2 linked regions of the Nothobranchius furzeri genome follow. The protein of the gene in region 1 interacts with the protein of each later gene in a pairwise test. Links are inferred from orthologs where the notes say so. Each region holds a gene or a part of one and is shown in the gene's direction. Other genes may lie near its edges.

Evidence for each region. The genes of interacting proteins can lie anywhere in the genome.
Region 2: the proteins of glutamate decarboxylase 1 (region 1) and haao interact in a two-hybrid assay, tested with the Homo sapiens proteins (4 studies listed by BioGRID and IntAct). The two-hybrid records come from large-scale screens. The link is inferred for Nothobranchius furzeri from reciprocal best matches to the Homo sapiens genes GAD1 and HAAO.

Annotation. Positions count from the first base shown.
Region 1 is NC_091754.1:20,477,925-20,481,578, forward strand, and holds part of glutamate decarboxylase 1, read left to right. Parts: coding exon 1-69; intron 70-301; coding exon 302-544; intron 545-631; coding exon 632-722; intron 723-3,487; coding exon 3,488-3,600; intron 3,601-3,654.
Region 2 is NC_091752.1:7,587,334-7,591,611, reverse strand, and holds the start of haao (3-hydroxyanthranilate 3,4-dioxygenase), read left to right. Parts: upstream 1-1,474; 5' UTR 1,475-1,563; coding exon 1,564-1,652; intron 1,653-1,836; coding exon 1,837-1,915; intron 1,916-3,437; coding exon 3,438-3,521; intron 3,522-4,278. Other genes in the region: papolg (poly(A) polymerase gamma), read right to left, coding at 264-280. UniProt on the Homo sapiens protein: Catalyzes the oxidative ring opening of 3-hydroxyanthranilate to 2-amino-3-carboxymuconate semialdehyde, which spontaneously cyclizes to quinolinate.

The DNA of each region.
Region 1 (3,654 bases):
GCGATAACACCGGAGGGGACGCGCGGTTTAAGCGCATAGAGACCGACTTCTCCAATTTGTATGCCAGAGGTAGGGCCAGAGAAATGCTAACTTGTTGCCTTTCATTTGATTTTTTTTAGATAAATGCCTCCAAATGTGTGAAAATTACAGTCTGAGTTTAAAGAAAAGGCCCCACATAAATAAAAAATAAGATAAATGGGAATTATTTATGAAATAAATGAAAGAAATAAAAAAGCAAGCAAAAATAATAAAAAAAATAACTACAGGAGACAAATTATTAGAATATTTGATTCTTTTATAGAGCTTTTGCCTGCCAAAAATGGAGAAGAGCCCACCATGCAGTTCCTGCTGGAGGTGGTGGAAATCCTCACCAGCTACATCAAGAAGACTTTTGACAAATCCACCAAGGTCCTTGACTTCCACTATCCTCACCAGCTGCTGGAGGGCATAGAGGGCTTCAGTCTGGAGCTGCCCGACCAGCCCGAGTCTCTGGAGCAGATCCTGGTGGACTGCAGGGACACCCTGAAATATGGCGTGAGAACAGGTAGGGTATACCTACTGATGAATAACTAACTCCTGGTTATCTCACAGCTGTGTTTTTTCTGAGGGTTTGACTCTGTATCAATCCCAGGCCACCCCAGGTTCTTTAACCAGCTGTCTACTGGAATAGACATCGTGGGATTGGCGGGAGAGTGGCTCACTTCCACAGCCAACACAAACATGTGAGTAGAAATCACAGCCGATCAGCTCTTATTTGTTTTTCAGCTCGGAGGAACACTTACAGTGTCATGTAGTAATTACTGTCCTCGGTTGGAAAAGAAAAACGCTCTAAAAGGCTGTCAGTCAAACAAGGAAATAAAGAACACAAAGCAGGACATCGGGGCAGACACACCCCGGTTCAGTGTTGTCGATATACACGACTGTTGGGAGGTGGGTGCATAACTCAGCCCTGCAGGGAAACTAAATTGCATATTGATTAGCATTCAGAGTTTACACGGTGTCTTTGTTTCGTGTTATGAGAGCTCCTGTGATATAACACAGACAGGAAGGAGCTTCCATATTTGGAAGATAGGAGCAGAATTTATTAATAGGATGTAAAATCTGTTTATTGCCTTATTTTGTCTCATTCTGCAGGATAGGCATCTCATTTTGGGAATCTGGAGCTCCCAAATTTGGGAAATGAGAGATATCACAAATAAATTCCATAAAGATCAATCAACCTATGAATGTTTGCAGACACTAAAAATCATTTAATTTGGATAACATGCAGAGAATCAAAGCATTGTAATATTTTGTTGTTGCTCATTAAATAAAACACCCATCAGTTCATTAGTCAATAATCTATTAAGGGCTCGTTGGAAAGGAGCAGATACTTCACCATAAACTAAATTTATTTGCAACATTTTTTTTATCGTGGCTGAAAGTTGATGAAGGGTTTTCTCATTGAGCCTCTTTAAAAGGCTGTTTGTCACCACTAATGCGTTCATTGATATGTAATCAGTGATTTACTAGTTATTTACAGGTTGTAAACTTCCATGAGAAATCCTGGATTTTCTGTTTTAATCGAAGGCAGTGGAAACTCACGTGATCTAATCATGGGTCATGGAGTTTGCATGGCTGCTGGACAGGTTTTAGGATGTAAACGCCTCGTCCATCCTGTGAGTCATTTGGGTTGTTGTGTAAATGAGGTATTGCATCACATGAATGCTTTTTGGGATGGGTGCAACCCAGCCACCTCACCTTCTCAGTGTTTTTCCATTTGTCTTCTCTGCACAACATGTGAACTTACTTTCCTCGAAAGGAGCTTGGCTTATCTCTGAGATGGATACCATTATTTTTGGAATCTTTGGTGCATAGACCTTATTCTGTGCTTCAACTGGGCTGGCATTGCGTACCGGGACTTTTTTGTGTTGCTTTTACAACCACATATCTGTCAAAATCTTTAAAATTATTATAAAATGTCCGTCTCCAGGTAAACAACAACTGTCCACAGTCCAACCCACTCTTCCAACGGGCCATTCCCATCTGTGCCTGGTCGGCCCTGCCTGGATAGCTCCAGTCGGCCCCAGCCTGGCCTGGCTGATTCCACACATCCTTGCTTAGGTATGCAAGGAATGTAGTCATTTCAGCTTCTAGGTAATCAGCATGATAATGAATTGAGCATGCCTTAAGCACATGTGGGCTGATTCTACCCACCAATCAGAGGCTTGCTCTACTGAAAGGTTTGAATTTGCTGACTGATTAGCTGGCTTATCAGTCAGCAGTGGGGGGTGTTGACCCTGGTCAGCCTGAAGCAGACCACCTCAGAAAGAGGGCTGAAAAACAGTCTCGTTGCACCCTGAAAAAAGGCAGGCCACCAAGATATGTAAGCAACCTATGCTATCCGGGCCGGGCTGACCAGGTACAAGATGGGAATGGCCCACTAACAGAAGTTCCCCTGCTTGTACAACCTGCCCCCCCCCCCCCCCCCCCCCAAAAAAAAAATTACGCCCTTGCTCGACCTCATGCGCAACCCAACTCTCAGGAAAAATCGTAGAATTGTGGAGTATTGTGATTTTTCCCAAAAAAGACTTGTAACCCCTGAAACTCTGGACTCATGATCACATCTAGAGGGGCATTTCAGGTGAGAGGTTCAAGAGTCTGATTGGTCTTCGCAGAAGTGACCTGAAACAGATTGGTTGGTCATCAAGATTTTTTCTCCTGCAAGTTTTAATTGTTCCCTTCCTCCAACCCACCTGAGCCAAATGATTAAATCGTCTTATCAGCCAGTTCTATAGAATTTAATGAGGCATCCATTTAAATCAGGTGTTCTGGACATGCAGGACAGTGGACATTGAGGAACACAGATTTTGGGACCAACAAAACTGTTACCTTTTATGAGCATCACAGTGGATGACTTGAACACGTGGGAGGTTTTTTCCACTAATTAATCTTTATTAATTAGTGCATCAGCCCTAATTATCTCAGCTGATATTGACTGACACTGATAGGCCCTCAGTCACATCCACGCTTTACATGATCAGACTTATCTGAATGAGAGCACTGAAGTAACATTTGACATCTGTGGGGTGAATTCTGACTTGTTTACTTTGGTCCTGCATGTGATGCACAATGCAGCACGCTGGGATCATCTTGTTCTTTTGCTCCCTTTGCATAAATAAACCAGAAAATAAAAAGAATGTTTATGTAGAGGTGATGCTCATGCAGTTTCTGCTTTATGAAGATAAAAAATAAATTACGGCACATGGTTTTGTGAGCCCAGCAGCAGGCCATTATTCTAGAACAACTTTTATGAAGGGAATTATTTTAAAGTGTGCATATTGTTGGTATTTATTGGGTCTCAGAGAGTAAAGAAATATACTTTGTTGAATAATTATGTAACTTTCAGTGAGTTAAGTGTGCATCAAGACAATAAGCAGGATTCAACAAAATAAGCACAGAAAGTTGAGATTTACATTTCACAGTTTGGTTATTTTGTCTGTTTTAGGTTTACATATGAGATTGCCCCAGTTTTTGTGCTGATGGAGCAGCTGACGCTCAAAAAGATGAGGGAGATCGTTGGCTGGCCAAACGGAGAAGGCGATGGAATATTCTCTCCAGGTAAATCAAAGCTGGAAATTAGTATTATTACTACAAAAAAACCAAAATATTTTA
Region 2 (4,278 bases), on another chromosome or scaffold:
GTTAGAAGATTGACCCTCTTTCCGGTTAGACCCTTAAAGAGCTGACATTTTTATGAACAAAAACTTAAACGTGGCATTTTCTAATTATTAAAAACGATTTAAGTCGAGTTTTACCCGAGCCAAACAAGATAAGTAGCATACGGTGGCTGCAGGCCATGTTGTGACAGTTGGCTAACATTAGCTTTTAGCCTATTCTTCAGGTCCATCTCTACCGCGAACAAGAAAAGCTTTTAAGTCCAAAACGAACCACATGCCTGACTTACCTTGACATTTCTTTCATGACACTCTAAAAAGCTTGCACCTTTTGCTGTAAATCCGTAAAAAAGTAAGAAAGTCAGCAAGTAGGAATGATAGCAGCCTTGACCTGATTTCAACAATGGTCACTTTCCAGGGAGAACAGTTCAAACCTTCCCACTGAACCGGAATCACTACTTATAAGACAACGAATCCGACCGAAATCCCAGGAGAAAATTCATATCCAAACCATCACCAAAACCACCGGGAATTTTTGTTAGTAGCGGAAAGCTCAAGTTTATTAGCTGTTACGAGTTATTTTTAGATCCCAAACTACAAATGTAACGGTGTTTTGTTGAACGTCTGCGCGCACCACGCTGAAGCACCGCCGTCAAGACGCACCGCCTCGCCGAGGCCGCATATCACGTGACCACAGCGGCCTGCTGGCTGTTACACAACCGGACCCAAAAAAGATGCAATTCCACAGCTGTACCACAAGAGGGCATCACCACAAAACACATAAACACCTTTGCCTTGAGCAACATAAAACATTCCCACATAACAGAATAAAAAAAAGATTTAAAGATAAAAAAAACTTCCATTTACTACATAATGGTTTGGCCATGGCATCAAGTACTTTTTGATATAAAAGGATAAGAATTTAAACAGAAAAACAAAACAGACATTGACAGAGTGCATCTTTTTCATGTTTCATTTCAAGTGAAACATTAAAACACACGTAAGGTAAAACTCATTGTTTATAAAGTATTACAGGAAAATTGTCTTTCTATATATAATATGTTCAGTTATTACCACAATTAGTAATCAATTATATACCAAGAAAATAGCAGTTTTAAACACGTCCTGTTTGGTAACAGGGGAGCTGGTTATTACAGTCTTCCATGCAATTCCAAGGTGCACGTTAGCTCATATTCTCTTTTCTTGTGATTCGCATTAGCCTTTACCTCCAAGTAAAACATATCAACTCATAGTTTACATGTTTTAGGCTTGTTTGTGATGAATCATAAAAGGAGTAGTATTTTAATCATTTATTGAGATAAATACAGTTTGAATTCAGGGAATATTTCACCCAGAAACTTTCTTCTGCTTTTGGCTGCATATGTAGTTGTTGAAAAGGACTCTTGTCTAGAGTCCCACAGGGCACCTTTGTTACTTATTATGAAAGTGAAGGTGACCTTTCACCTCTGCAAACAAAAACAGCTCCTCCCTCCTGAGCTTTCAGCAGCTTCTGCATTTTGGACTTTGAGTGCATTCACACTTTAACATCAGCTTCCAGGGTTTGATCATTCCAAATTAAATATTTAAAACATGAACGTATCACCTCTCCAGGTCAGCGTGAAAAACTGGATTACAGAGAATCAGGATGATTTTCTGCCACCAGTTTGCAACAAACTCATGTGAGTGACTTGATTCTTTTATTAGCTGAGATTAACGTGGATTTCTTTCTACTAACGGGGATCTTTCATCTGTTGTGCAGTTTGAAATATTTGTAATAGTTTCGTAGCTTTTGCACAAATTTCACATGAACAGCCTTGGTCATGCCGAGGCAACATGGCTGATTTTATTTCCTCTTTTTCTCAGGCACTTTTCCCAGTTGCTCATCATGTTTGTTGGAGGTCCTAACACCAGGAAGGACTATCACATAGAAGAAGGGGAAGAGGTAAGAGACAAATATCTACTGAACTGCTTCAATCATGTTGATTTAAAGGTGAAATATGGAACATATTAATAAAAAGCTATATTATTAAAAAAGCTCCACGGGTGCTTAGAGGCGTGCAGAGTGAATGTTCAGTTTTTCCTTTAAAAGCTAAATTAAAAAAATCAATTTTTAATTTTGTCTGCACGACACTGGGTTCATGTTTACATCTAGCAGCCACTAGAGGGCATCATAGTGCTAAAAAGTCCGCTCGGCAAGGCGAGGCTGGGGCTGCGTAAAAGGGACTTGACTACCCAAGCGGCTGGTTCTGAGCCCAAAAGATGTTCTAACGGTAAATATTGTCGTAAAGTAAATGTATTAGTAGAAATTAGTCCTTACCCTGTACGATTTGTCACTGAACACGGTGCTGGCTGGTCACTTAAAGAGCGAGTAATGCCTAAATTAACTTTTTTTTTGCAGCTAACCTGTATAGATGATGGTGCTGCACACATGTGTAATCATTAGTGTGACACTTTAGTGCAACTTACTTTAAATGTAATATTTCAGCCCAAAATCTCATTTATAACTATCTTCAGGTTAAAACTCTGCTCCACATTTATGTAGAACCAGCTGTAGCTGATGGCTAAGCAGAAAAACGTGACGTCAGCAAAAAACTACGCGGCTGCACCGCACTGGTCTCCAGGTGAGGCAGCTGCACCTCCACCTGGCTCAGCCACTCACCTGCCGATGTGACACGTTAGCGCTCTGAGCCGCTCGCCACCTTGAAAAAAAAAAGCCCTCCTCCCCTTTTCATCTATTGATCCTGGTTAACAAGAAATCCTCCAGAATGCTGCAGAATCTGTGTCTGCTTTTTTCCTGAGCGGTAAGTCTTATGTGAGTGTGCTTGCGTGCACGCTCGAGGGTGCATGCGCTGGTTAACAACTCGTTTTTAGATTGAAAAACTCTGACAGCATGTGCGCGCGGGGGTGTGGGTGTGGGGGTCTACCATTGTCTCAGTGCCGCTCTCTCGATCCGCCCACGGCGACGCCTTTTTCAGAAGCGATTTTCTAACGGGAAGTGTGGAGGAAATACGTCTCCACCCAGGCCTTGACCCTCACTTTAATGTGTCAGCAGCGAACCAACACCCCCCACGGCTGGAAAATGTTTTCTATTGTTGCACTGCCACCTCTAGACACTAGATGTCGCCAGAGTTTCCGTGTTCCATATTCAACCTTTAACTTCTGTTGACCTTTTATTCCCACTTCAGTGGATTATTTATTATCTTTTCTGCATTATCAGGTCAAACTCCACCAAACTGGTTTAGGCCCAGTGTGTGGAACACTTGATGTTCTTAGTACAAAAATACAGAACCAGCTGAAATCCACGTGAAACAGGCCTTTTAGGGGTTGTACGAATTATTTTTTGTAGTTTTTAGAAAGAGAACTTTTATATTGACTATGGAAATAAACCAAACACAGTTTCCTCTAGTAAACATCTAGGAGTAGCATCTAACCCCATGTCTCCATCTGCTCTTCTCTTTAAGTAGTTGTTCTTCCAGCTGAAGGGGGACATGTGCCTGAAGGTGGTAGAAAATGGTGAACACAAGGATGTGCACATCAAAGAGGGAGAGGTGAGCTTTGAGGTTTAGGGTAAAACGGTCACTTTTACGGATTTCTAGGTCATTCTGGGTGAAACTCCAGGTGGCTGCTTTAGGTTAAGGGGTCGGTCACCTTTTCACAATGTGCCACTTTGGTTTGAAAACCACATTTAGAATTTAACCCATTTGTGCCCACATTTTTTTCAGTCTTAATGCATATCATTTTATCAGTTAAGTCCCTCTGAATCATGTTATATAATATTTTTTTCAATTATATACTGTTTTTGGGAAGAGAATGGCATATTTATGACTGGCAACTATTGTTGCCAGTGGTCACACAGCTTGTCAGTAGGTGAAATGTCACCTAATAATAGGAATAGAGAAGTAATAATAGTGTCGTTAGGGTTAGTTTTTCCTCGCACCAATGCAAACCCCCCCCCCCCCACACACACACACACATACACACCTGTAACCTCACCCATGCATCCCACAAACAGGACACTGCTCTGTTATTTTGGCGCACCTCACTGCAGCAATACCTCCCCCAATGGCTGTTCAAGGCCCAGCCCTGGTCATAACAAGGTAATAGCCTAATAGTATTGTCATAGAAATAAGAAAGGACTCAGGTTCCCCTGTATGAAATTCAAAACAAGACACAACTGTTTCCTTTATTCACATTTTTAAAACTCAAAATCACAACAAACATGTTTTTTAGAACATTTAACACATATTTATGTATATGACATAGTTCCCACACAATCCATCATTTGGTATGGATGTACTACTCAGT